Rattus norvegicus: one gene and its partners. The protein of the gene in region 1 purifies or fractionates together with the protein of each later gene. This does not show direct contact. Links are inferred from orthologs where the notes say so. Each region holds a gene or a part of one and is shown in the gene's direction. Other genes may lie near its edges.

What was found.
Region 2: the proteins of Ssrp1 (region 1) and Paf1 fractionate together in Homo sapiens (co-fractionation; 3 studies listed by BioGRID and IntAct, with this or other methods). This does not show direct contact. The link is inferred for Rattus norvegicus from reciprocal best matches to the Homo sapiens genes SSRP1 and PAF1.
Region 3: the proteins of Ssrp1 (region 1) and Mcm7 purify together in Homo sapiens (affinity purification with mass spectrometry; 4 studies listed by BioGRID and IntAct, with this or other methods). This does not show direct contact. The link is inferred for Rattus norvegicus from reciprocal best matches to the Homo sapiens genes SSRP1 and MCM7.
Region 4: the proteins of Ssrp1 (region 1) and Srpk1 fractionate together in Homo sapiens (co-fractionation; 3 studies listed by BioGRID and IntAct, with this or other methods). This does not show direct contact. The link is inferred for Rattus norvegicus from reciprocal best matches to the Homo sapiens genes SSRP1 and SRPK1.
Region 5: the proteins of Ssrp1 (region 1) and Zc3h18 purify together in Homo sapiens (affinity purification with mass spectrometry; 3 studies listed by BioGRID and IntAct, with this or other methods). This does not show direct contact. The link is inferred for Rattus norvegicus from reciprocal best matches to the Homo sapiens genes SSRP1 and ZC3H18.
Region 6: the proteins of Ssrp1 (region 1) and Top2a fractionate together in Homo sapiens (co-fractionation; 3 studies listed by BioGRID and IntAct, with this or other methods). This does not show direct contact. The link is inferred for Rattus norvegicus from reciprocal best matches to the Homo sapiens genes SSRP1 and TOP2A.
Region 7: the proteins of Ssrp1 (region 1) and Chd1 purify together in Homo sapiens (affinity purification with mass spectrometry; 3 studies listed by BioGRID and IntAct, with this or other methods). This does not show direct contact. The link is inferred for Rattus norvegicus from reciprocal best matches to the Homo sapiens genes SSRP1 and CHD1.

What each region holds. Positions count from the first base shown.
Region 1 is NC_086021.1:90,530,173-90,534,282, forward strand, and holds the start of Ssrp1 (FACT complex subunit SSRP1), read left to right. Parts: upstream 1-1,310; 5' UTR 1,311-1,478; coding exon of another isoform or gene 1,479-1,603; coding exon 1,604-1,657; intron 1,658-2,078; coding exon 2,079-2,264; intron 2,265-3,232; coding exon 3,233-3,338; intron 3,339-3,591; coding exon 3,592-3,782; intron 3,783-3,885; coding exon 3,886-4,110. Other genes in the region: P2rx3 (P2X purinoceptor 3), read right to left, coding at 647-658. UniProt on the Homo sapiens protein: Component of the FACT complex, a general chromatin factor that acts to reorganize nucleosomes. The FACT complex is involved in multiple processes that require DNA as a template such as mRNA elongation, DNA replication and DNA repair.
Region 2 is NC_086019.1:92,814,197-92,817,275, forward strand, and holds the end of Paf1 (RNA polymerase II-associated factor 1 homolog), read left to right. Parts: intron 1-158; coding exon 159-275; intron 276-376; coding exon 377-505; intron 506-1,654; coding exon 1,655-1,760; intron 1,761-1,854; coding exon 1,855-1,945; coding exon of another isoform or gene 1,946-2,020; coding exon 2,021-2,445; 3' UTR 2,446-2,579; downstream 2,580-3,079. UniProt on the Homo sapiens protein: Component of the PAF1 complex (PAF1C) which has multiple functions during transcription by RNA polymerase II and is implicated in regulation of development and maintenance of embryonic stem cell pluripotency.
Region 3 is NC_086030.1:22,160,379-22,164,419, reverse strand, and holds the start of Mcm7 (DNA replication licensing factor MCM7), read left to right. Parts: upstream 1-1,241; 5' UTR 1,242-1,300; coding exon 1,301-1,331; intron 1,332-1,778; exon of another isoform or gene 1,779-1,849; intron 1,850-2,011; exon of another isoform or gene 2,012-2,235; intron 2,236-2,640; coding exon 2,641-2,720; intron 2,721-3,318; coding exon 3,319-3,608; intron 3,609-3,680; coding exon 3,681-3,861; intron 3,862-4,041. Other genes in the region: Ap4m1 (AP-4 complex subunit mu-1), read right to left, coding at 20-126, 586-710, 811-868. UniProt on the Homo sapiens protein: Acts as a component of the MCM2-7 complex (MCM complex) which is the replicative helicase essential for 'once per cell cycle' DNA replication initiation and elongation in eukaryotic cells.
Region 4 is NC_086038.1:6,652,836-6,656,335, reverse strand, and holds part of Srpk1 (SRSF protein kinase 1), read left to right. Parts: intron 1-2,408; coding exon 2,409-2,516; intron 2,517-3,500. UniProt on the Homo sapiens protein: Serine/arginine-rich protein-specific kinase which specifically phosphorylates its substrates at serine residues located in regions rich in arginine/serine dipeptides, known as RS domains and is involved in the phosphorylation of SR splicing factors and the regulation of splicing.
Region 5 is NC_086037.1:67,376,538-67,380,037, forward strand, and holds part of Zc3h18 (zinc finger CCCH domain-containing protein 18), read left to right. Parts: intron 1-1,537; coding exon 1,538-1,729; intron 1,730-2,422; coding exon 2,423-2,548; intron 2,549-3,500.
Region 6 is NC_086028.1:84,449,094-84,452,593, reverse strand, and holds part of Top2a (DNA topoisomerase 2-alpha), read left to right. Parts: intron 1-352; coding exon 353-548; intron 549-1,941; coding exon 1,942-2,033; intron 2,034-2,457; coding exon 2,458-2,619; intron 2,620-2,744; coding exon 2,745-2,828; intron 2,829-3,500. UniProt on the Homo sapiens protein: Key decatenating enzyme that alters DNA topology by binding to two double-stranded DNA molecules, generating a double-stranded break in one of the strands, passing the intact strand through the broken strand, and religating the broken strand.
Region 7 is NC_086019.1:65,368,216-65,371,715, forward strand, and holds part of Chd1 (chromodomain-helicase-DNA-binding protein 1), read left to right. Parts: intron 1-315; coding exon 316-504; intron 505-2,746; coding exon 2,747-2,909; intron 2,910-3,500. UniProt on the Homo sapiens protein: ATP-dependent chromatin-remodeling factor which functions as substrate recognition component of the transcription regulatory histone acetylation (HAT) complex SAGA. Regulates polymerase II transcription.

The sequences.
Region 1 (4,110 bases):
GGAGACCGTGAGTTTAAATATCCTGTCTTTTTGTAGGACATATGCTAGCAATCACTCTAAATTATGATAAACTGTTAAAAGAGTTCTAGGTTCCAGCTTTGATGCCAATGTACTGACACCCCGGGTAAATCTTCTGTGGTTTCATTTTTCTCATCTGTAAAATGAGGAAGGCAAGATAAACTCAAGCATCTCTTTCAGACCTGGCTTCAGATTTTGCAAGATGCACTCTGGTGCTATGTGAGGCCATCCAGGCTTCTGCCAACGCAGGCTGATGTGATTTCAAGTAAGTTCTAGCTCAAAGGTAAATCTGACACCACCACTTGAACTTAATGCAGCCATCTGCTGGGCTCTTCCTGAGAACCCACAAATTAGGGATATGGATGGGATGGTGTTGGGGGTGGAAGGTGAACTCATTTCAGAAAGGATCTCATCTGCTTGCCAGGGTACAGCTGGAAAGCAAGCACAATCACCGACACCCGCATTCCCTTTGCAGCTAGCGGAGGCGACATTTCTGGCCACAGCTCTGTATTTTTATTTTTTATTTACTTATTTACTTATTTATTTATTTATTTTTTGGTTCAACAGACTCCTTCCCAGATTATTCACAGGAGGGAGGAACCTGCATGATTCCAACAAACATACAAACCTGAAACCGCATAATTTCCCCTCGGAATCTAGTCTTTGAAGAGCAGCCTGTAACTTTCTAAGAAGCGATCCCGTTTTCTAATCAAGAAATCAGCCTCGTGGGATCCCGTAGCAAGACCCTCGCTTTAGACGACCAGGGGCACCGACGCTCTAGGCGACAGTCCCGTTGGTCGGCCCGGATGGTGCCTTTCTAGCCAGGTCTTCCTCTCTATGGTTTGTGCGCGACTTCCGGTGGCGGGACGCGGAACCGCGCACGCGGGAAAAGGTTCCCCGGCACCCCCTCCCCCGTATCCCTATCCCCTCCCCTGCGTCCCCCTGCGCCCACCGCCCTCACTGTGTCGTCGCGAGGCTGCAGTTCGAAGAGGTGGGTGGTCGCGATTCCCGGGCTCCGGGTGTGCATGGGCCCTGCTCCCCCGCGGGACGATTGGGATGGATCGATCCGCGTTCAAATTCGCGGGCAGTGGGCGAATCCATTTTAAAAGAAGGGGGAGAAACGTAGATTCACGGGGGCCTCGGGGTGGTGGGATCGCTGCGATCAGGACACTACCCTCTGAGCGGAGTTGAGGTGCGCTCTCTGAGCCGGTCCCAGGTTCCGCCGATTGTTGCGGTGCCTGTCGGTGGAACGTACCGAGAGGGTGTCGGGTTGAGATGTAAGTGCCACTATAGGCCTGGCTCTGCACCTAGGGTCCTGGGCCTTGGCCTCAGGAGCGCTGCAGAGCCGGTCAGTAAGATTCCCAGGCAGTAGAGAACTTGAGATATTCCAGGCACAGCTACTCATGGGTGATCGGAGTAAGGTGTCGTTTCTTGCTTATCAGTCTCCTTCCCGAATTCAGATTCACACCCTGCTGAACATCTCTACACACCTAACCAGGAATTGGGACCCAGCATCCAGATAAGGGTTCGTTTTTCTCTGGTGCAGCTTAGGGCTGTGTGCTCAGAACACCACGGGCAGGTGAACATGGCAGAGACATTGGAGTTCAACGACATCTTCCAGGAGGTGAAAGGGTCCATGGTGAGAATGACTTGGGCTTTTAATAAAGGCAGAGATGGGAAAGAGTTCTTGTTTTATTAACAAAAAGCTTAACTCTGACTACTCTTTTAGAAACAGTGTATCAGTGTCCGCCAAGCGAAAACATCCGCAAAGTCTCAAGAGTTACATGATACTGAGTTTGAAGAGATTGCATGTGTAGTTCTATCCTAAATCCCTGTGTTAAAAAACCGGGAACTGGAGCCCTTACAGGGTTTCTGACACTAGAGCCAAGCTTTCAAGACTGAAAATCTTAATGTCTCTTGTGTCTTTTGACTTGATTTCACCACAACCTGTTGCCTTTTTATTGATAAAATGGCCAGCCTGTATTATTGTATGGATAAGGGGTTGAAAGGACCCGCTTCGTGTGTATCCTGTTCTGATTTTGGGTCTGTATTTTGGGCAGAATGATGGGAGGCTTCGATTGAGCCGTCAGGGTATCATCTTTAAGAACAGCAAGACGGGCAAAGTGGACAACATCCAGGCCGGGGAGTTGACCGAAGGCATCTGGCGTCGGGTAGCATTAGGCCATGGACTTAAACTGCTCACAAAGAATGGGCATGTCTACAAGTATGATGGCTTCCGTGAATCGGTGAGCAGTCTTGTTCTGTGACCCCCTCTCTTTGTGACTGCCTTGTCTTGTTTATTTTAATCTTCTAGAGACAGTTTCTGTTCCTCTGATAATCATGTCATTGTTCATTTGGGTTCCTCAGAGCAGGGCGGTTGGAGACTATTGAACAAGAAAACCAGTGTTTTCTATATTCAGTACCCGTGTCTTGTGCCTAGACTCCAGAAGGTTTTTTACCACCTTAATTTAGGTGGTGGTTTCCACTTGCTCCTTCTGTCCTGGTTCAGAAATTCTAGCTTGGTGCTCTAGGATTTTGCTTTTCCATTTTGAGCTGCTTTTGAGTTACTTGGTTTTAATATCCACTTTTATCAAAAGATCACCTATACAAAGTTTAGAAACTCAGTAAGGTCATACACGTATCTGGGAATTTAACTTTCTTTACTACACTTAGCCAGAGACCCCAGAAACAAAAGGTTTTTGTTGTTGCTGTTGTTAAAAAAATTTTTCATTCATTAAAAATTATTTATTTTATGTGCATGAGGCTTTGCTAGCATGCAAACCTGTGCACCATGTGCATGCCTGGTGTCCGCAGAGCTCAGAGGAAGGCATTGGATCAACTGGAACTAGAGTTACAGACAGTTGTGAACCACTGTGGGGTGCTGAGAATGACTCCAAGGTCTTATATCAGAAAAAGTTCCCTTAACTGCTAGGCCATCAGGTCTCTAGCACTTAAAGGGTTTTAAGCATAAAGGTTAAGAGAAAAGGCTTGAAAGAAGGACATCCCTGAGAGTAGGGCTGAGAGCATCTGGGTTCTAGAAACTGCCTCTAGTAACAAAGTAAAAGTGTTTTAAAATGTTTTCAGAGTCGGTATACTTAGTTAGCTGTAGTTTCTGAGGAAGACACATTGGTGAACTGAGCTACAGAATCTCAGGACATTTGTGTTAAGGCCCAGAGGTTTAACTGGGACCGCACTTTCTCCTTTTGATTTACAGGAATTTGAGAAGCTCTCTGACTTTTTCAAAACCCACTATCGCCTTGAGCTGATGGAGAAGGATCTCTGTGTGAAGGGCTGGAACTGGGGGACAGTGAAATTTGGTGGTGAGTGAGGGAGATTGAGCTTTGGGGAGAAGGTGGGGTGAAGAAGGGCCTCAGACAGTACCTTTCTTTACTCTTTCCTTGGCTCTAATTTCTTAATTTCAGTCTGTGTGTTTAGCATGGATTTGTCCAGCATGCACGGTCCACCAGACACTGTGCCTGGCTTTGGTAGTTCCTCCAGTCCTCTGTCTTGGTGGGACTGCTTCTGTCGACTCTTGGGGAGGAGCTTGCGATTTGACAAGCTCTTTCCTCACAGGGCAGCTGCTTTCTTTTGACATTGGTGATCAACCAGTCTTTGAGATACCCCTAAGCAATGTGTCCCAGTGTACAACAGGCAAGAATGAGGTGACCCTGGAATTCCACCAGAACGATGATGCTGAAGTATCTCTCATGGAGGTGCGCTTCTATGTCCCTCCCACGCAGGAAGATGGAGTGGACCCTGTGGAGGTAAGGCTTCTGTATATTGGGCTGCTGGACATTGCCGAGTATACTTTGGCCGGCTCGCCTGGGAGCAGAGGCTGGCTGTTTGAATACCCATGTGTGTTCATAGGCCTTTGCCCAGAATGTCCTGTCAAAGGCAGATGTGATCCAGGCCACTGGAGATGCCATCTGCATCTTCCGGGAGCTGCAGTGTTTGACTCCTCGTGGTCGTTACGATATCCGGATCTACCCTACCTTTCTACACCTGCATGGCAAAACCTTTGACTACAAGATCCCCTATACTACAGTTCTCCGTCTCTTCCTACTGCCCCACAAGGATCAGAGACAGATGTTC
Region 2 (3,079 bases), on another chromosome or scaffold:
TTTTGACATAGGTTATGGTTCCGTTGCCCAGGCTGACCTCTAGGCTCCTTGCATTCCTCTTGCCTCAATCTCTGGAATGTTGAATGTACAGGCATGTGTCACCACACCCAGCTTTGTTACTTTGCTTTTGACCTTTACTCTCTTTTCCCCCAAACCAGGGGCATGATGGATGAGGAAGGGAACCAGTTTGTGGCTTATTTTCTGCCTGTGGAAGAGACACTAAAAAAACGAAAGCGGGACCAAGAGGAAGAGATGGACTATGCACCAGATGATGTGTAAGTGGGTTAGGGTTAGGGTTAGTGAGGCTTTAGAATTCAGAAGTATGTTTCCTTTACTCCTCTATAACCAATGGGCTGACTGTGTACCTTCTTCCCAGGTATGACTACAAGATTGCTCGAGAATATAACTGGAATGTGAAGAACAAGGCCAGTAAGGGCTACGAGGAAAACTACTTCTTCATCTTCAGAGAGGGTGATGGTGTCTACTACAATGAGCTAGAGACCAGGTACTCAGCACTGTTGTGGGTTTTTTTGTTTGTTTTTGTTTTTTGAGACCATGAATGAACTACTCTGAAGTCATTTGTACCTAAATATTTGTTTTATGTATCTGAGAGAGCAGCAGGACCCTGCTTATTAATGTAGGCTGGGGGGCTGGGGATTTAGCTCAGTGGTAGAGCGCTTACCTAGGAAGCGCAAGGCCCTGGGTTCGGTCCCCAGCTCCGGAAAAAAGAACAAAAAAAAAAAAAAAAAAAAAATGTAGGCTGGACTTGGCTCTCTGTTCCTAGTACTATAAACCACAAAGAAAATTTTCACACAATGTAGGATGTAAACCTAGTCATTTTTCTGTTCATGTGTGTACATACTGGAGCCAGAGATTGAATCAGCTTTCCTTTGTTGCTCTTATTTTGTGTGCATGCATGAGGAGGTTAGAGGATAACTTGGGTGAAGTTACTCTTTCCTGTTCCCCCATGGCACTTTACCAACTGAACCATCTCCTCCAGGCCTTCAGGTTTTAAATAGTTGACAAAAACTTCAAGAGTGTTACCTCAGAACCTTTCTTTTGAGGGCTGAAAGCTAACTTGTCCTAGGGCCTGTGGTTTGAGTTTCTGTTCAATATGGCTGGAGATGTGAAAACAGACAGTGACAACACCGTTAGTGAGTACTACAATTCAGCTGCAATCCAATGCTTTTCTATTTAAAAGCCAGAAACCCAAATAACTACTGGCTACTCTTCTAGGATGTTTGTTTTTCTTTTTTTCTTTTCTGTTTTTCGGAGCTGGGGACCGAACCCAGGGCCAAGCGCTCTACCACTGAGCTAAATCCCCAACCCTGGCTACTCTTCTAGAAGACCCCAGTTCGTATCCCAGTTCCCACTTAGACAGTTTTGCCCAAAGAATCTGATGCCCTCTTGTGGCTTCTTGGGGTACTATACATACAACATGCAAAACACCCATTCACTTAAAATCTTGAAACAAGAAAAATCCAAAAAACTTAAAAGTTGGGTAAATCAAACCCGTAATACCATCTTTCACGTTCACTGTATGTATACTTTGTTTTCTGGTATGCTGTGGGTCAGATTATTGATAGGGAACTAGGTGTCAAGTTAGACTGGTCCCAGTGGAGCCTAACTCCCCTTCTGCAATTGTCCACTGCAGGGTCCGTCTCAGTAAGCGCCGGGCCAAGGCTGGGGTTCAGTCGGGTACCAATGCCTTGCTTGTGGTCAAACACCGTGACATGAATGAGAAGGAATTAGAAGCCCAGGTAAGTTCTACTGTCCCAGAATACCCAAAGGGAGTGTAGTGAGTGAGGACAGGGTTAGAAGTCTTCCATCTTCTTCCCAATTTGCTGACTCCAGGAGGCACGCAAGGCCCAGTTGGAAAACCACGAACCAGAGGAAGAGGAGGAGGAGGAGATGGAGGCTGAAGAGAAAGAAGCTGGAGGCTCAGGTAAAGGACTGGTCACATCCTGGGAGCCCTGGGAGGGTGGGCAATGGAATCTCACCAGTGCCTACTTCCTCACAGATGAGGAACATGAGAAGGGCAGCAGCAGCGAAAAGGAAGGCAGCGAGGATGAGCGCTCTGGCAGTGAGAGTGATCGAGAGGAGGGTGACAGGGATGAGGCAAGTGACAAGAGTGGCAGCGGTGAGGATGAGAGCAGCGAGGACGAAGCACGTGCTGCCCGGGACAAAGAGGAGATTTTCGGTAGTGATGCTGATTCAGAAGATGATGCTGACTCTGATGATGAAGACAGAGGGCAGGCCCACAGGGGCAGTGATAATGACTCGGACAGTGGCAGTGATGGTGGTGGCCAGCGGAGCCGCAGCCAGAGCAGGAGTCGTAGCCGGAGTGCCAGCCCCTTCCCCAGTGGTAGTGAACACTCAGCTCAGGAAGATGGCAGTGAAGCTGCAGCTTCTGATTCCAGTGAGGCTGACAGTGACAGTGACTGAGCCTCAAGACCTTCTAATGAGGTCAGCACAGACACCATTCTTAGGGCAGGGAAGCACTTTTCTAGTTGTCTGTTTTGTGAGCCCTTTGTCCCTACCCTTCAATCTTTGCTGTTAATAAATCTAACTTCTCTGGACTTCATCTCCCAGAGCTTCTGTTCCCCTTCATGTCATCTTCGCACCCCCACCCCCACCCCAGTGCTCAAGGTTCTCCACTTGAAGCACAAAATCAAGTCCCCATTGGATTTCCCAGGAAGTGCATCATAAATGAGAAATTAGAGTCTTTTTTGTTTTTTGTTTTTGTTTTTTTGTTTTCCAAAATAAGCCCAGACCATTAACAATTGAAACTCCAACAAATAAGTCTTCTCCAACAGCGAGAAAAATGTACAGTTACTCAAAGCTGATTCTGCCAGTGGGGCTGGGGACAGAAGTGGGCAGGGTAGGGTGAAACCACAGAGGGGGATGGAGGGTGGGAGGGTCAGGGTCCTGCCTGTCAGAGTAGGGCCGCCTGCGTCCTGCACTCTGCTGTCAGGTGGGTGGGAAGCTCTCACCTCCCTCTTGGGGAGGATATCCCTCATCACCTTCCAGTGCCAGGCAGAGTCAGTAACCCTGATGGGAAGTGAACAAGACAAGACTA
Region 3 (4,041 bases), on another chromosome or scaffold:
CTGTTCCAGCCCCACTCACCTGGAAAGTAGCTCCAGGAGGCTGAAAGGAGAGACATTTTCTGAAGTTGTGGCCACCAAATAGAGACCACTGTGTCTGATGTGAATAAAATGACGATCATCGTGATACTAAGGCAGAGTTGAGGACAGAGGCATTATTAACAAAAGACCAGAATTGTAGTAATGTAGCCTGCAAGATAGCACCCTGGGGTCTCCAATCGTGATGGTAGAAGTGTGACGCTGGGCGATCCCTGAGACCTAAGACCTGGCCACCTAACGTGTAAAGGTAGCACCTACCTCTCTGAGTTATTGATAGTCTAGAGATGGGGATGCAAGGCTCTGCATCTGGCGTCTTGTCAGTACTCATCTATCTTACTTGGAGAAACGAATCCTTCCTCCTTAAAAGCTTCTTCCTGGTCGACACCTCTGTCTCCTGCGCGGGATACATGTCGGCCCGGAGATCCCCATAATAGATCTCCGTAATAAACCTCGCCTTTGCTCATTACATCCAAAAAAAAAAAAAAAAAAAAGCTTCTTCCTACCAAGCCGCCCTTGACAGGGAGAGATGAGGCACCCACCCACCTCCACAGTTCTAAGCCCCTGCTCGCCTGCCACAGTAGTTACCATGACAACCGGGGACTCGCCTCCCGGCAGTCCCGTCAGCTTCCGGTAGAAGAGCTCGGCCACATCACGACCACCACTATCCCCTCGGACTAGCCAGATGGAAAGATAGTTAAGGAGCAGGCGACACAGACTGGCCTGGTTTCGATTTCTACCCACCTCCCCTATCCCGTCTCCCGGTCCAAAGGATACAGTCTTTATAGATGAGCGGATCCCCCTTGGAAGACAGAATGAAGAACTGGGAAATCATGGCCGTTCTGAAGGATAGACAAGAAGACGGTGAAAGTTGAACCCACCCCGCCTTGCGGACACGGAACAAAAGGCCGCACTGAGGCTGGCGCTTTAAGAAACTCCTCCCACACACACACTCGCGAGCATTAATTTCGAACCGCGGGAAATCGGGTGCCCAACCCAGCAGAATCAGGCAATCTTCCACCGGCCCGCCCCCTAGCTCTCTGTCATTCAATCTAGATTCATCCAGTGATTGGTTAAAGTTAGGGGCCGGCAGCGGTTGGGAACCCCCTCTCTGATTGGCCCGTATTTAGCCGTATGGGTCACATGGGTGACGACGTTTCGCGCCAATTTCGGTTGGAGAGCTACGTACCGCTGCGCGTTCGTTTTCTGCTTCCCCGGAGTGAGACTTCAGAACCATTTAAGTCTTGCCGCACGGTCCCCGGCAGCGATGGCGCTTAAGGACTATGCGATTGAGAAAGGTGATGCTCTATAGGGCTGGGAACGGCGTCCTCGGAGGGAAACTTCTCTACCTACACCTGTTGAGGGGAGCTTGGGTCTTGGGGGGAGCCGAGATCTGTGACTCTGGGGACAAGCTAACTGCACCTGGGATAAGCAATGGGCATTAAGAATGGAGGAAGCAATTCTGCTTGGAAAAGATGATGTGGTTGTGTTAGGGAGAGAACCCAGTGAAGGCCACAAAGAGGAGGGGCGTGCTCGGGGAAGACCAGATGACGTGGAGCCTTCAGTACGGGGTTTGAGGGACTGGGTTACTAGACCAGCCTCTGCGCCTTGGGGCACTAGCAAATTCCCGCGTGCACTCGAGGCGCGCCGGAGCCCAGAGGCGGGGCTTGCTGGACCGCTCCGCTCCGCGATTGGTAGTTTTCGGCCGCCCTCCAAGCGGAAGTAGAGGCGGGCGGAAATGGCGCTACCTGATCGGAGGGCTGTCGTGTGTAAACAGTGTCCTTCCGCGCGGTGGCATCGGAGATAACTGCTCTAGGTAGGGGCGTGCCTGGGATTGGGAGGCTGAGCGCCGGGCGGTGAGCGTTGGCAGTATGGTGAATCCGAGTGGCCCTTTGGAGTTCTGGCCAATCCCCGCACGGCCACCGGTTTCAGGCGGAGGAATCCTGGGTTGTGAGGCGGCTGGAATCCAGGCCCATGTGCTTCTTTGTTTACTAAGAGCGGAAGCAGTGGCGGGAGCCGGGCATGGGGTGCCGAAGGAGGCCTAGTGGCAGACGTTCTGGCGGGAGCCGGAAAAGAAAGAGCTGTACTGTACTGGTAGAGGGAGAACCGAGGGTCTTAGGTCGACTGTGAGCAAGCTGAGAGAATTGAAGAAACTGAGGTTCCTAACTAAGGCAGACACTGGAATTTCTTGAGGGTGGTTAGGTAAGATTATTGTAACTGCCCAGGGACCTATATTCTTCCCTAGGTAAAAACAGACTTGTGAAAGGGAGCACTGCTACTTTGAGAACTTGGTAGATTTGTTTTGAATGTTCATTTAACTAACTAGTTCATAAGTCCCGCCAAGCGGGTTTCTTAGTTTTCCGTTAAGAGTTTGAAATAAAGAATCCAAAAGGGAGAGTGATTGTTTTTAAGTTTTTTTGCTACGTTATTGTTTGTGAGAGCACGTGCGCGTTTGCACGGGCACATCACAGCTTACAGTTGGGTGCTAGACACCCGCAGAACTCTTCCAACCTGTGGGTGGGTCCCAGAGATTGAACTCCAGTTGTCAGACTTGGCGTGGGCTTTACACCTCACTGTCCACAAAGATATTTTATTTCATATTTGTAGAAAAAGTGAAGAAGTTCCTGCAAGAGTTTTATTATGATGATGAGCTTGGAAAGAAGCAGTTCAAGTATGGGACCCAGTTGGTAAGTCTCAGGGTGGGTTATGGGGAGTGGAGTGGTGTGTAAGAACTTGTATAAGGTGCCCTACCTTGTGATAGCAAGAATGGCTATCAGTGAATGACTTGGTTTTGATTGTTTTTATACAAAGTTTTGAGTTCTTCTATGTTTACTTTTGGATTTTCTTAGCTGTTTTACTTGTATTTATTCCTGTATGCTTGTGCTCACATGGGCATGCCATAGCATGTGTGGAGGTCAACAGGACAATTTGTGGGAGTCTCCCACCACATGTGTTTTGAAGAGCAAGCTCAGGTCATCTGGCTAGATGGCAAGTGTCTAACCTGCTGAGCATTCTCATCCATGCCTAGCTCTTGGTTTTTAGGGATAGTCTGTGTGTAGCACAGACCAGCATCAAGAACACCCTATGTAGTTACATAGCTAAGGTTGGCTTTGAGCTCCTCATTCTGTTGTCTTCTAAATCCTAAGTGCTGGGATTGGGAACACCTGTCACTCTGCTGGACACTATTCTGTTTTTCCCCATGGGAGGTAGGCCAGTGACTTAGAAGCGCTTTTGTGGGTGAGGTGAACTTGACTCTAAAGTGTTACTGTCTCTTCCTTACCTCAGGTTCATCTGGCTCATCGGGAACAAGTGGCATTGTACGTGGACCTAGATGATGTAGCTGAAGATGACCCTGAGTTGGTCGACTCAATTTGCGAGAATGCCAAGCGCTACTCGAGGCTGTTTGCTGACGTAGTACAGGAGCTTCTGCCTGAGTACAAGGAGAAGGAGGTGGTGAATAAGGATGTCCTGGATGTTTACATTGAACACCGATTGATGATGGAGCAGCGGAGCAGAGACCCTGGGGCAGTCCGGAACCCTCAAAACCAGTATCCTTCTGAGCTCATGCGTAGATTGTAAGTACCTCTGTGGGAAGGGGCAGGGACTTGCTCTCCAGGGCCTTGTTGACAAATGTTTCTTTCTCTTAGTGAGTTGTATTTCCAAGGCCCAAGTAGCAGCAAGCCTCGAGTGATCCGGGAAGTACGGGCTGATTCTGTAGGGAAATTGTTAACTGTGCGTGGGATTGTCACTCGTGTGTCTGAAGTCAAGCCCAGGATGGTGGTGGCCACATACACTTGCGATCAATGTGGGGCAGAGACCTACCAGCCGGTATGTATACAATAGGGAAAAGAAAAATAGGCCTCTGTTCTCTGTCCTTGAAATTGTCCCACTGATTGTAATCTATCATTTTCTCCCAGGCTATTACAAACATTTTGGTATCCATTTAATTCTTGTTAGCGATTTGATCTCTGGTTGTTTTGACTTGGAATATTTCAAGAGGCTCTTATA
Region 4 (3,500 bases), on another chromosome or scaffold:
CAGGACAGTCAGTCGGCAAGAGATATCTGGGGCACAGTGAAAGACCACATCCACCCATGGACTGGGAGAAGAAGGATTTCATTCCAGAGGCAGGAAAGAAAGCATTGCTGATAGTTGAAGCAGAAGGTCCTTGCTGTGTTGTGCTGTAACGGAAGGCACCAGAACTGACGTGTAGAGCCTTAGGCCAGCTCTTCAGACCCTCGGAGGGCGGGCTCCTTTACTGTAGAGTGAGTGAGGAGCAGCTGCAAAGGATGGACTGCACCTAGTCCTAGGTAAAGGGAGGACCGGGCTCCACCCACCATCACGGACCTTACCTTACATAACAAAGCACACACCTTTCAAGAATTACTCTGAAGGTTAATGCTCTCAATGCTGCAGTTCAAGGTCAGATCAGAGATGGTTTAACAGTGAAGAACAATTATCACTTACAGAGAACCAGAATTTGATTCCCAGCCCCCACACTGGACAAATCACAACTGCCTGTAGCTCCATCCCCAGGTATCAGCGTCTCCCAGGCGCACGTGCATGCACTAGCTGATACACTGCGCATATGATTCTATGTGTGTGTCTGCACCTAGTGCCTGAGGAGGACCTCAGATCCCCTGGAACTAGAGCTACAGACGGTTGGGTTGTGAGCCACCGTGTGGGTGCTGAGAACCAGACCCAACAAGAGTAGCAAGCCCTCTAGACCACTGCACATCTCTGCTGTCCTTAGATAATCTTTAAAGTGTGGATTCTTTTTTGAGACAGAGTCTCACTAAATAGCCTTGCTGGCCAGGAAGTCCCAGTGTAGAACTCCTAGCGATCTGCCTGCTTCGGCCTCTGCAATGCTGCGGTTAAAGGCCTGTACTACAACAGTAGACATGAATTTCTTAGAGAATAAAGAAGACAGATGAACAGGTTGGGTGAGCAGCATCGACTGTCACTTAGTTCCTCAAGGTTGCTCAGCATTAAAGATGTGTGTGACGTAGGTGAGGCGTGCGGAAAGGTGCTCCAGGCCAAGGCACTCACAGACATCAGCCTGGGTGTCCCAGCTATGCCATCTGACTGGTCAGCAGAGAGGAAAGTCCCTCCATCCTGGCCATGGGAGCAGCCTGTCAGGGCAGCAACACAGCAGGAATGGGAAGCTTTAGTGTGTCACTCTGACCAGCGGACAGGCCTATGCAGGTTGGGCCATCCAGACCTGCAGACGGTATATTCATTACAGTGAAACTAGACTAGAACTCAGTGGCAGGAGACCTGGGGATTAGAGAGATGACTGGATGCTGTCTGTGCATGGGCAGTCAAAGGACAACCTGCCAGAGTTGGTCCTCTCTGGGGTGTGGATTCCAGGGATGAAACTCAGATTGGCAGGCGTCTGTGCCTACTGGGCATCACCAGTCCTGGCCTGTGTGTTTCCAAGTTGTGTGTGTGCTTTCAGTGACCGTCCCCAAGGACCAGCTCCTCCTCTCCATAGCTGTGTTTGTCTCCAACTGCAGTGTTTGCCTGCTCTGTTGATGGTCCTCCCCTGGAATCCTTCTGCCCTGCTCGCCCAGTTCCGTGCCAAGTCTCAGCCTGAGCCATGCTGCCTTTCTGCCTGTCTTAGCAGGACTGTAGGCTGTGTGCTCTACACATCTGAGCATCCATTGTATAAGAGCTTGCACGTTGGGGGCTGGAGAGATGGCTCAGCGGTTAGAGCACTGACTGCTCTTCCAGAGGTCCTGAGTTCAATTCCCAGCAACCACATGGTGGCTCACAGCCATCTGTAAAGAGATCCCATGCCCTCTTCCGGTGTATCTGAAGACAGCTACAGTGTACTTATATATAATAAATAAATAAATCTTTAAAACAAAAAAAAAAGAGCTTGCATGTGTGCACCAGTGTGCCACAACATGCATGTAGGTCAGAGAACAATTGCAGAAGGCATTTGTCGTCATCACTGTTGGTCCCCATCATCTCCCTCATCTCCCTCTCCCCTTCCTCTCACTGACTTTTTCTATTTACTTAGATTTATTTGTTTGTTTGTTTGCTTGCTTGACTTGGGTTTGTTTTGTTTTGCTTTTTGGAACAGTCTCATTGTGACCCCAACTGACCTGGAACCCACTGTGTAGACCAGGTTAGCCATGTAGAACTCAGATCTGCCTGCCTTTGCCTCTCCCAAGTGCTAGGATTAAAGGCATGTGTGTGCCATCACACCAGCTCTCATTTTTTATTTTCTTGATAAAGCTATTGTTATCCATATGTCTAAACCAAATTAAGGCTCAATTTTTAAGTTCTTTGGAATAGCAGTAAGACAGATTGTTAAATGATACTTGTGAAGCGACCTACGTGGAAATTTTTAAGAGAGCTTGTTTTCAGTTATTGAGCCAGCCATAGCTTCTCCTCTCTAACATAAGTGACCTAAGTTCTCCACTCATTGACTTGCTCAGCACAAGCATTTCACCGAAGACATCCAGACCCGGCAGTACCGGTCTTTGGAGGTCCTGATAGGATCTGGCTACAACACCCCTGCTGACATCTGGAGCACAGCATGCATGGTAAGCCCTGCCGCCTTCCCTGTTTGCTAGTGCAGTGTGTGACAGCGGAGTGACCCCCCAGCTGCTCACTGGTGACAGTCAGAAAGCAGGGCGGTGTGGGGAACCGACAGTGGCTGTTCTCAGACATTGATGTTCCTGTGTTGTGGGTGACTATTGTCCTTGAACTCTTAGTCTTGATCTGTTTGCAAACTTGGGACAGACGCATGCCACTGGGAAGGCTGATGTCCTCTGCAAGTGAGCCACTCGCCTGTCTGTCAGTCGAGGGTAAAGCCCAGGCAGGCACCTACGGTGCACAGCTCACTGCTCTGGGCGGGGCGGGGCTGGGCGGGGCGGGGCTGGGCTGTTTCTTGATTTTGGTTTTTCCCCTTTATTTATTATACAGTCTGTGCTTGTCAACACCAGCCGGTGGCATTGCTGTCCTGTGAGCTTGCGCTTTGAGCTTGAGCCGAGGCTTTCCCTGCTCATAAGGACCCTGACTTCCCAGGGCAGACAGGTTGAGGACGTAGTCCTGCACCAGTGCCTTTGCTTTGCATGGCGGCCTCAGTCAGCTCCTGCACGGCTGGCTACAAGCACCAGCTGGTGTTTTGTTATCAAAGGCCAGATATAGAGAAGTGCCACACTTCGTGAACTTGGTCACCCCAGGGAAGGTCCCCTGTGTGTCAGGTTTGCACACTTACACTTTAATTGCTGTTTCATTACTCCCACAAGATCAAAAGTATTCAACAGTAAGCAAAGAGAATTAAGGCTTACAGAGGAGAGGAGACGACTCGTTATGTCTGGTGAGGCAGGGGGATTGCCAAGACCATCCTGGGCTACGTAGTCAGAAAAATCTCAGCGTGGTCTGGATTGTAGATTACGTTTCCAACGATTTAAGATTCCAACAGGGAAGGGGGGGAAGGGGATAACATTTGGAATGTAAATACATAAAATGTCCTATAAAAAGATAAGCCGATTCCAGCACAGGGTGGGGCTGCTTGTCTCACA
Region 5 (3,500 bases), on another chromosome or scaffold:
CCAGCCCTCAGATGCTCATGCTACAGGGATGAGAAGATTGAGGCCGTCCGCAACACTGTTCTCCACCTGCTGAGTGAGGTGCATGGTCTCAGTGGTCTCTGGTTTCTGTTTGTAGAGGTAGTGAGGGGCTCTTCCTGTGAAGTGGATTTGAATACTGCATTGACTGCATCTAAAGAAGAGGGAACTCTCCGCTACCAGGGTATTCCTCGTGGAACGGCTGCAGCTAGCCAGTTGACCAGTAAGAGGCTAGTGATCCTGGTGTCAGTTCCTCTTAGGTTTTTTGTTTATTTGTTCTGTTTTCTAATCCTATTTTATTGTATGTGTATGGTATTTTGCCTGTATATATGTCTGTGCACCATCTGTGTACAGTGGCAGTGGCAGCCAGAAAAGGGTATCAAAGATGCTATGTGGGCCACAATGCTAGAACTAGAACTTCCTGTGGAAGAGCAGCCAGTGCTCTTAGCTGCTTAGTCGTCTCTCTACCCACCCAGCCAGCCTTGGATTTAGAATGAGAACATGGAGGAAAAGCCATGACCTAGAGCCGCTAGGTTGTCAGGTTCTCCCTTCCTCCCTGCCTTTCTTTATCGGCAGCACCTGGCTGCACCTGGGCACGAGCTTCTGGGGTTAGGACTGAGGTAACGGGCACATGTGTTGTGGTTAAGCCTTAGCACTGGATGTTGCTCTCCCCTGCACTCCTCAGCAGGTAAAAGTCCTGGTGCCTGCCACTGGCCGGTGACCAAAAGGAGTTCTGAAAGTATAAATAGGCAGTGTTTTTGTGTCCATGATGGTAGTGCAGCCTTCCCCAATGCCTCCTTCTCTAGCCTCCCGAGCACTTGAGGCCAGTGCTGTGGGGGAAGAGCCTGGGATCCTCATTCTCTCTCTGCTTTAATCAAGTTCCTGGGCTGCAGTTGAACCAGACTCTTTAAATGTAAAGACAAGGCTTAAGGCATGGGCTTGTTAACAGGTGTTTAAAAACACGATTCTTGTTGCTTTAATTTCATGAATACTGTGTACCTACTGTGTGCCAGCACTAGAAATAAGCATGTTTGAATGAGGTGAACTCTATTCCTGTTTGACAGTACAGTCAGAAAGATAGAATTAAATAATGACTCCTCTAAAAATATTTACTCTTGGGGGAGGGGTGTTGGTCGGCTCTGGTTTGGTGTTTTTTGGTTTTTTTGAGGCATAGTTTCTCTGTGTAGTCCTTGCTGTCCTGGAACTCTCCCTATAAGCCAGGCTGGCCTCAAACTCAAAGATCTCACCTGCCTTTGCCTCCCAAGTGCTGGAATTAAAGACATGTGCCGCCACCACCAAGAAAGTACTTCTTACCACACGTAAGAGTAAATGGGAATCCTGCTGGTTTCTGGAGAGAATCCGCTGTAGGGTAGAAGGTGTGCCATGTCTCCTCTCTCTGACTTTCTTCAGCATCTCTTACATAAGCTGTCACTGACCGCCCTGGCTTTCCAGTCTCTTCTCAAAGCAGCCTTGCTGGGGGAGGGTAGCGGCCTGAGCACTGAGAGCCCCTCTGTGATTCTAGCCGTCAAGCTGAACCACCAAAGAAGGAGACCGCCTCTGTGGGGCCACAGGTGAAGCGAGCCGATGAGTGGAAGGACCCGTGGCGCCGATCCAAGTCTCCCAAGAAGAAACTTGGTGTGTCAGTCTCCCCAAGCCGGGCACGAAGGCGTCGCAAGACATCCGCCTCATCAGCTTCTGCTTCCAATTCCTCCAGGTACAGAGGGCACCAAAGACTGTGTCTTGGTGACATTCACTGGCTGCCAGTTCATGTGCATGTGTGTGGTCACTACCCAAGGACAGGCTAGGATTAGGTAGGACTGATACCAAGTATTGGGCCAAGACTTTCAGTGCTCCAGAACTTAGTAAGTAGGACGGGTGACCTAACATGATATAGACACTGGCTGTCTGCCAGAGTCATACAGTCACTCAAGACGGGGAAAGCCTCTCAGATCCTGTGGGAAAGACTCTGGGTTGCTGACGAGGAACTACACACTCTGCTGACCAGTCACCTAGCTCTTGGAGAACTTCCCTTAGTGACTCTGAACTCAGTGTGTGTGCGTGTTGGGTCGGGGGACAGCTGTAGACACTGAGGGGAGGGAGTTCCACAGGAGTCTGGGAAGAACCTCCCAGACAGATCCAGGAACACAGCCATGGGAACACCAGGTCAGCTTGAAAACTCACACTCTGGCCTTCTCTAGCAACTCAAACTAGCCTCTGAGTTACCTGCTCCTCCTGGGTGCCCAGTCCTGGTCTCCACAGCATTGCACTGAGGGTGATGGCACTGCGGTGTCTGTGGAGCTATGCTGTCTCACGGCACTAAAAGAACAGCGGCTCACGCATCCCAGCGCTGCGGTAGTGAAGTAGGCAGTAATATTCTCACTGCCTCTGCTCTGTCCGTCGGTCACAGGTCATCGTCACGGTCTTCATCCTACTCTGGCTCTGGCTCGTCCCGGTCCCGGTCCCGGTCCTCCTCCTACAGCTCCTACTCCAGCCGCTCTTCCAGACGCAGTTCCTTCTCAGGCAGCCGGTCCAGGTGAGTCCCAGCCTGCTTCCAGAATGGTTTTAGTAAACTGCACGCTGAAGAGCAATTTGGACTGCAGGTGCTGGACCAAGGACCTGCACCTAAGGTGTCTCTGTTGAGTGAGTGGCAGGTAGAATATGCAGTGTCCATCTTCCCAGAAAGCCCTAGGAGAGTCAGGCAGGGTCTTCTGAGTTTTCCCCATTGAAGTAGATACTTCTAGAGCTTTAGGCAAAAGCTCTCCCAGCACATAAAGACACTCCGTTCACCCTGACCTGTCCCCACAAAAGCTTGACAGCTTAGGATCTCTGCCAGTGGAAGCTGCCCTTTACCTCAGTCAGGCCGTGCTCAGCGGTCCATCCCTGAACTGAGTTGATGCTACATTGTGTGCCCTCCCTGCACTGCCGTCACCATGAGCTCTTGAGAAGAGGCAAACCTTCGGCATGGTGTTCGGTAAAGTGGAAGTGTTTATCCTGGTCATTAACTGTACACATAAGGCCATGCAGCTCACTGCTTTGGGACATATCACTAGGCATTTTTGTGGGATTAAAATGTTCTCTATTTCCTTAGTGTAATCTGGTCCCTTCCACTGTTACCCCTTCCTGGCATATGGTCTTGCTTTTATTTATTTTATTTTATTTTATTTATTATATTTATGTAAGTACACTGTCACTGTCTTCAGACACACCAGAAGAGGGCATCAGATCCCATTACAGATGGTTGTGAGCCACCATGTGGTTGCTGGGATTTGAACCCAGGACCTCTGGAAGAGCAGTCGGTGTTCTTAACCACTGAGCCATCTCTCCAGCCCTTGTTTTTATTTCTTTAAGGAAATTGAGATTTAATCTCTCTTTGGGGACAAGGGTCTCACTCTATAGCCCTAGCTGACCTGGAATTTGCTATGTATGTATTAGATTAGGCTGGCCTCTAACTCCCACCTGCCTCTGCCTCCTGAGGGCTGGAAGCA
Region 6 (3,500 bases), on another chromosome or scaffold:
AGAGCACTGACTCTTCTTCCAGAGATTCTGTAAGATCTGATGCCCTCTTCTGGTGTCTGAAGACAGTGACAGTGTACTCATAAGAGCACTTAGTACTTGTACATTGGACCTGTGTTCTGTTTTCGGCACTCACACAACAGTTCACGACTGTCTGACTCAGTCATAAGTGATTCAAGGTCCTCTTCTGGCCTTCATGGGATAGTGCTACAAGCATAAGCTGCACATATACATGTAGACAAACATCCATGTAAATTAAAAATTATACATCACAATTTTAAAGAGTGTATCAGGCAACTTTTATGGGGGTTAGCCAATTTATTGATCATAGCTTAAATGTGCTTTTCTCTTCCAGGTACTTTTTGACCATGTTGGTTGTTTAAAGAAATATGACACTGTGTTGGATATTCTAAGAGACTTCTTTGAGCTCAGGCTTAAATATTATGGATTAAGAAAAGAATGGCTTCTAGGAATGCTTGGTGCAGAATCTTCTAAACTGAATAATCAAGCTCGCTTTATATTAGAGAAAATAGATGGCAAAATAGTCATTGGTATGTAAATATCTATACCTAAATGTTGGGGACCGGTCTTCCTGGATCGTTTATTATTTGAAAAGCTTTAGTGGTACTGGGGCTCAAATATAGGGTCTTGTACTTGCTAAGCCTATATTCTGCATTAGCTTCATCCCCCTAGATTGAACATTGAAGAAATCTATACTCAGTTAATGTTTACACAGAATCTAGAGAACTAAAAGACCTTGTGTATGGCTGGGGTGTAGCTCTCAAAGTGGTAGAATGCTTTCCTGACATCCACAGATCCTAGGTCCAACCCCAGTCTCTGCATCAGCTTCATGTGTTAGTGCATGCCGTGATCCCAGCACTCAGGCGTGGGAGGGTGGGGGAGGTGGGGGGGGAGAATCAAGGCCAGCGAGCACATGACCCCTGTCTGAGAAAAGAAATCTTGTATAGCTAAATTGATCACAAGAAGAGACACTGATTTGCTCTTAAAATGAAGGAAGGTTATAAATGCCTTATAAGCACGGAAGACTGGAAAATGGCAAATCTTAGTGATGTTTTATCTTTTGCTTTACTGGAAATTTCATAAGCAATTAAACAGGGTTTAAATGAGTAGGAAGAGTCTTGACTGAAGCTGAATATAAGAGGAAGATTAGGGGTTGGAGAGATGGCTCAGTGGTTACAGCTCTTATTTATAAACAGCCCAAGTTCAGTTCCTAGCACCTACGTGTTGTTTCGCTATCATCCATAACTCCAGTCCAAGGGAGCTGCTGCCCTCTTATGGCCTGCATGCGCACCAGACACACATGCACAATAGGTACATTGCCAGTGATTTTGACTGACTTTAAAGCATGATGGTCTGCAACAGACACTGAGAGAACCGCTGGAGAAAGGGAACAGACGTGCCCCGTGCTTCTGTAACTAAGAGATTCAAGCTCTGTGCAAACTGCCCTAAAACCTGATGAAGTGTTGAAATAAAAGCCAGAAAACAGGATTGAGTTCCAGGCTCTTCAGAAGTGGAAGTTTTCCTTCTATTTTAAGATTATGTAGATTACTGTCTCCTCTATGGTCTAACTGGAACTGTCCCATGGTAATTCCTTTGTCCTGGCTTACAGAAACTTGTCTGTTCTGCAGAAAAATGTAGGCAAATCATAGTTCTGCAGGGAGGAAGGTTGGGGTAGGGGAATTGTTGGTTTGTTTTTCATGGCAGGGTTTCCCTGTGTAGCCCTGGCTGTCCTGGAACTCACTCTGTAGACAAGGCTGGCCTCAAACTCAGAGATCACCTGCCTCTGCCTCCTGGGTGCTGGGATTAGATTCGAGGGCTGCCACCACCTGGCTCTAATTTTCCAGTTTTAATCTTTTGACTTAACAACGTAAAAATAACTTGTTTTTCCAAATCTTACTCAAAGCTTTCTCTCTTTTTAAATAGAAAATAAACCTAAGAAAGAATTAATTAAAGTTCTGATTCAGAGAGGCTATGACTCCGACCCTGTGAAAGCCTGGAAAGAAGCTCAGCAGAAGGTATTTCCTCCCTCTCTGTCAGCCCTGCAGCTCCACATGTGCTTGTCCTGCTTACGATCCTGCTGTGACACTCACACAGGCAGAGCATCACACACAGAAAGAAAATAGAAAAAATACTTCGTTAAAAAATGTAAAATTTGGGGCTGGAGAGGTGGCTCAGTGGTTAGAGCACTGACTGCTCTTCCAGAGGTCCTGAGTTCAATTCCCAACAACCACATGGTGGCTCTCAACCATCTGTAATGGGATCTGATGCCCTCTTCTGGTGTGTCTGAGGACAGTGACAGTGTACTCATATACAATAAACATATAAATCTTAAAAATAAAAAAAGTAAAATTTACTTTCTAGCATTTCTAGAGGTCACAGTACAGAGTAAAGGAAGCTGTGTGTCTGTATTTCATAGTCCGCGTGCAATTCACCCTTCAGGTCCCAGAAGAAGAGGAAAATGAAGAGAATGAAGAGAGCGAGAGTGAAAGCAGCAGCCCTGCAGCGGAGTCTGGACCGACCTTCAACTACCTTCTTGATATGCCCCTGTGGTATCTAACCAAGGAGAAGAAGGACGAGCTGTGCAAGCAAAGGGACGAGAAGGTAAGCTGCTGGTAGGAGGGGTGGTCAGTGTTTAATTTCGTTCTCATGGGAAAATGGTGTTCTGTTTAAAAACGAATGGTCCTTGTACATATTTACTAACCCCATATTTTGGTGATTTTATGAAGGAACAAGAGCTCAACACGTTAAAGAAAAAGACTCCATCGGATTTGTGGAAGGAAGACCTGGCTGCTTTTGTGGAAGAACTGGAGGTTTGCATTTATAAAGCCTGTATTACTATTTACAGCCTAGCAACATTCCCTTTCTTATTTTCCTTATGGATGAGGAGGTGGAGGGGGAGTAGGTGCAGGTGCCCACAGAAGCCAAGGTGCCAGTCTCCCAGAGCTTCAGTTGTGAGTCACCCAGGGTGTGTGCTGAGGACAGAACTCAGTCTTTGCAGCAGTAAGGGCTCCTAACCACTGAGCCATCCTTCCAGCACGAGCAACCTGTCTTTTTATCAAGAAAGTTCTATTGGATAAAAGAAAAAATATAGGAAAAGAGACTACATGACAAAATAATGAAGAGGCTGACTGTGGTAGCCATGTAGACAGCCCTCAGACTAAGGCAGGGACATCACAAGTCTGCGGAGCCTGGGCTACCAAGTGAGTTCAAGTCCAGACTAAACCATAACACAGTAAGACTGTGTCAAAAACCAAGGACTAGGATGTAATAGAATTATAGAGCACTTTCCATACACTTATAAACCTTTGCCCTCTATGCTTTGCACTTCAAAAAATAATAACATGGCACAAAAAATAATGGCATAGCATATGGTGAGTGAACATAAAAGAACCCTGGCTGGGCTGGAGAGATGGCTCAGTGGTTAAGAGCACCCGACCTGGGTTGGGGATTTAGCTCAGTGGTAGAGCACTTGCCTAGCAAGC
Region 7 (3,500 bases), on another chromosome or scaffold:
TATCACACGTTGTAGGGTCTGCCACGAGCTACATCTCCTGCCCTCGTTTTTACTTTTTGTTTTGAGGTAGGGTCTCCCTAAGTTGTGCAGGCTGGCCTTAAATATACTCTGTAGCTCAAGTTGGATCATATATGCCCACTCTCTATGCATATAGATAACGTATACTCACGTGTGTGTGTGTGTGTGTGTGTGTGTGTGTGTGTGTGTGTATGTATAGGAGGAACTTGTTGGGTTGGAGACTTAGAGGTAACTAAGTTTAGCTTTTATATACAATTTTGCTTATTTTCAATAACTGTTCCTTAAATTTGTTTCAAGGTTTTCTTCATGGGAAGATTTTGAGGAAGAACATGGTAAAGGCAGAGAATATGGTTATGCAAGCCTCCACAAGGAGCTTGAGCCATTTCTGTTACGCAGAGTTAAGAAAGATGTGGAAAAATCTCTTCCTGCCAAGGTGGAGCAGATTTTAAGAATGGAAATGAGTGCTTTACAGAAACAATATTACAAGTAAGCCAAATAGAACACAGTTCAGAGTTAGCTGTCCTTGCCCTTGTGGTGCTCTGCATCCCCACATGGATCTTAGAGTAGCAACTCACTCAGTTTTAAAGGACGTTTCTTCTATGGCTAATTAGCAGGGAGCTTTAGGGTTGGGTCCAAGATTAAACCGTGGCTTGAAGGACTTACTTTGATATGTATCGGCCTTTGCTTGCATGTATGTGTGTGTACCATACATGCTTGGTACCTGGTACGCAGGCCAGAGTAGAGCCTGAGATCCACCAGAACCCACGTTACAGATGCTTGTGAACTTCTGTACGAGCACTGGGGGCTGAACTGAGACCTTCTGTGAGGGCAGCAAGGGCTCTTAACCAGTGAGCCATCTTTCCTGCTCCTAAGCCATGTTTGTAACACATCATCGCGAATCCCCCTGCTCATATTTACCTTTCAACCAGCCTGATATATCCAGCAGTTGTGGTAGTTGACAGAGCTAAAGAAGCCTTAGACAGAGTGTTAGCTGCCTCCTCCCTTTTTTGAAGAACATGAACAAGTTATATTTTGTGTAAGTTCCTTGTCAAATTTATATAGTCACTTTTCAAAGGATAAAACCAAAACATGTCCTAACATGTATTGATAGTTACTTGTACAAGGAAATACATCGTGATTATATTTAGCATCCTAAAAAAAGTTAAATTTTATGGTGAAAATCTCTTAACTGCCATGCATGTGGGTTTATTGTGGGTCTTAGGGTGCAGACTGTGACCTCAGTACTTGGAGGTGGTCAGAGAGTTTGAGATTCAAATCCATCCATCCAGAGTACATCGAGTTCTAGGCAGAGCTGGACTGTAGGGTCTGCCCTGCCTCACAAACCTCCCAAGTGCCCGTGACTTAAGTTTGAGTTTGTTAGTGCACTAGTTTCTTCTGTTTCTTCTTCTCAGGCATGTCAGAGGTACATTCATATTTCTTCATGTGTCTCTAATAATTTTTAAAGATACCCATTTATAAAGTTTAACATTTTTTATGTCAATGTTCAGTAAAGCCTTTTCTGTGTTGCCTTAAACTTTAAATTTTGCTTACGTCAGAAATGAATATGATCTTTCTGAGATAATGAAGTGCCTCACTTGTAGGTATCCGTGCCCCTTAAAATTCCTTTGATAAGGAAACAGGTTTCTGAATAAACTTTTCATTGTAGATTTTTCTGGTATATTTTTCTGGAATCTTTAAAAATATCCTTTTTATTTCCTGTAGATCAACTGCTTGTTTAGATTTGGGTTTTTGTTTATGGAGAGAATGTTTTATAATGGAAAAGAGTAATATTAAGTATTTTTTTTTTTTGTAGTGTGGTGAAAATTAGGAAAATTTAAAAATGGAAAAGATTTTGAAACAGTTAAAAGGAGAAAGCATATATAACGCGTATAACTTCTGGGTACTATTTTGGGGTTACTATGGTAATAAAATGTGGCTTTAAATGGTGTATGTTCCCTCCTGCAGGGTTAGGGGTGGGGTAGTGAACACAGTCCTGACTGATGCCCAAATTAGCCTTGAAAGATTGCCATAAATTTGTAAAAATTTTTAGAGTATCTCCTCCAGAAACACAGGAGACATTCTGAGTACAGTAAAGTAAGGTCTCAGCCTGAAATACCTCCTTCAGAACCAAGAATTGTGTATGGACTCCTGTTTGCTTCTAAGTTAAGTCAGGCAAATCCCAAGTAACCAATAATAAAGAGAGATAATAAAAGAATACCTAGATAGTGTGGGATTTTTAATATTCTTCATAAGGTAAATTTACGAGAAAGGAAGTTAACAATAGGTAATTAAAGTAGGTTTTGAGAGAAGAATTGTGTGTGGTTTGAAGTGATGTTCAAGTTGCATAGGTATCACATAACTGCAATTTAGAGAGGACAGTATGACCAAACCAGGTATTCATGAGACTGGAAAAGATGTGGTTCTAATTACTTGTCTGCTGGAATGAAATTTCTAAGAAGATTGATACTGTGGACCACTGCTTCCCAAAACTCGAGAAAAGGATTAATGTGTTTATTATGCTACATAAAACCTCTGTATGTAGTCGATGGATCAGACAAGTTATGTGTACTTTTTAAGCCTTCGATGTGAGGTTCAGTCCATCCTGTATGTAACCAGGAACTTGGGAAGGGTGAAGTTTCGATTTGGTGTTAGTGTTGTTTTTAAGCTTTCAGAATTTATCTTGGTGATGATCTGCTGAATGTTGTTCATGTGACTTTTGTTTTTGAAGGTGGATTTTAACTAGGAATTACAAAGCCCTCAGCAAAGGTTCCAAGGGCAGTACCTCAGGCTTTTTGAACATTATGATGGAGCTAAAGAAATGTTGTAACCATTGCTACCTCATTAAACCACCAGATAATAACGAATTCTATAATAAACAGGAGGCCTTACAAGTAAGAATTTTTAAGTATTTCTTTTGGTAAAGCAGAATTCTAAGAATATGTATTTCAGTTTTAGCTTAAAGACAATACAGTAATATATTCATTGGAAGTTCTCTTTGGCTAATGTTTCATTTAAATAAGGTCTGGTTATTATTTGTTTTTATGAAAGCTCTTAAAATTATAATTTATAAACATAATCTTTCAAGCCAGTGGTCTGTAGTGGTTTATCAGACAAAATCTATTCGTGTGTTATAGATTATGATATGACTGAATCTGACTGTAGATCAGTAGATATGACTGTGACCTGAGGGAGGCCTTGCCTCCACAGCTGCTACCCCTCTCTTACCGTTGAGAGGCAGCTCAGACGTGAAGACACTTGGAATTCAGTCATAGTAGTTCAGTGAGGGGTGAGGATTCCCGAATTAAAAAAGAATATGTTTGCTTGCTCTTTAAAGAATTGTTTGTTTAGTTGCTTTTTTGTTTTTTAATATCTGTTTGCTTTTGGCTAAGTCTCGGAGAAATAGTGTAAGAGCTGGCAAGTAGAATGATACAGCAAAAATAATAGTCTAGTTATGCATGTTGGGGCGGGTTTAGTTTATGTAG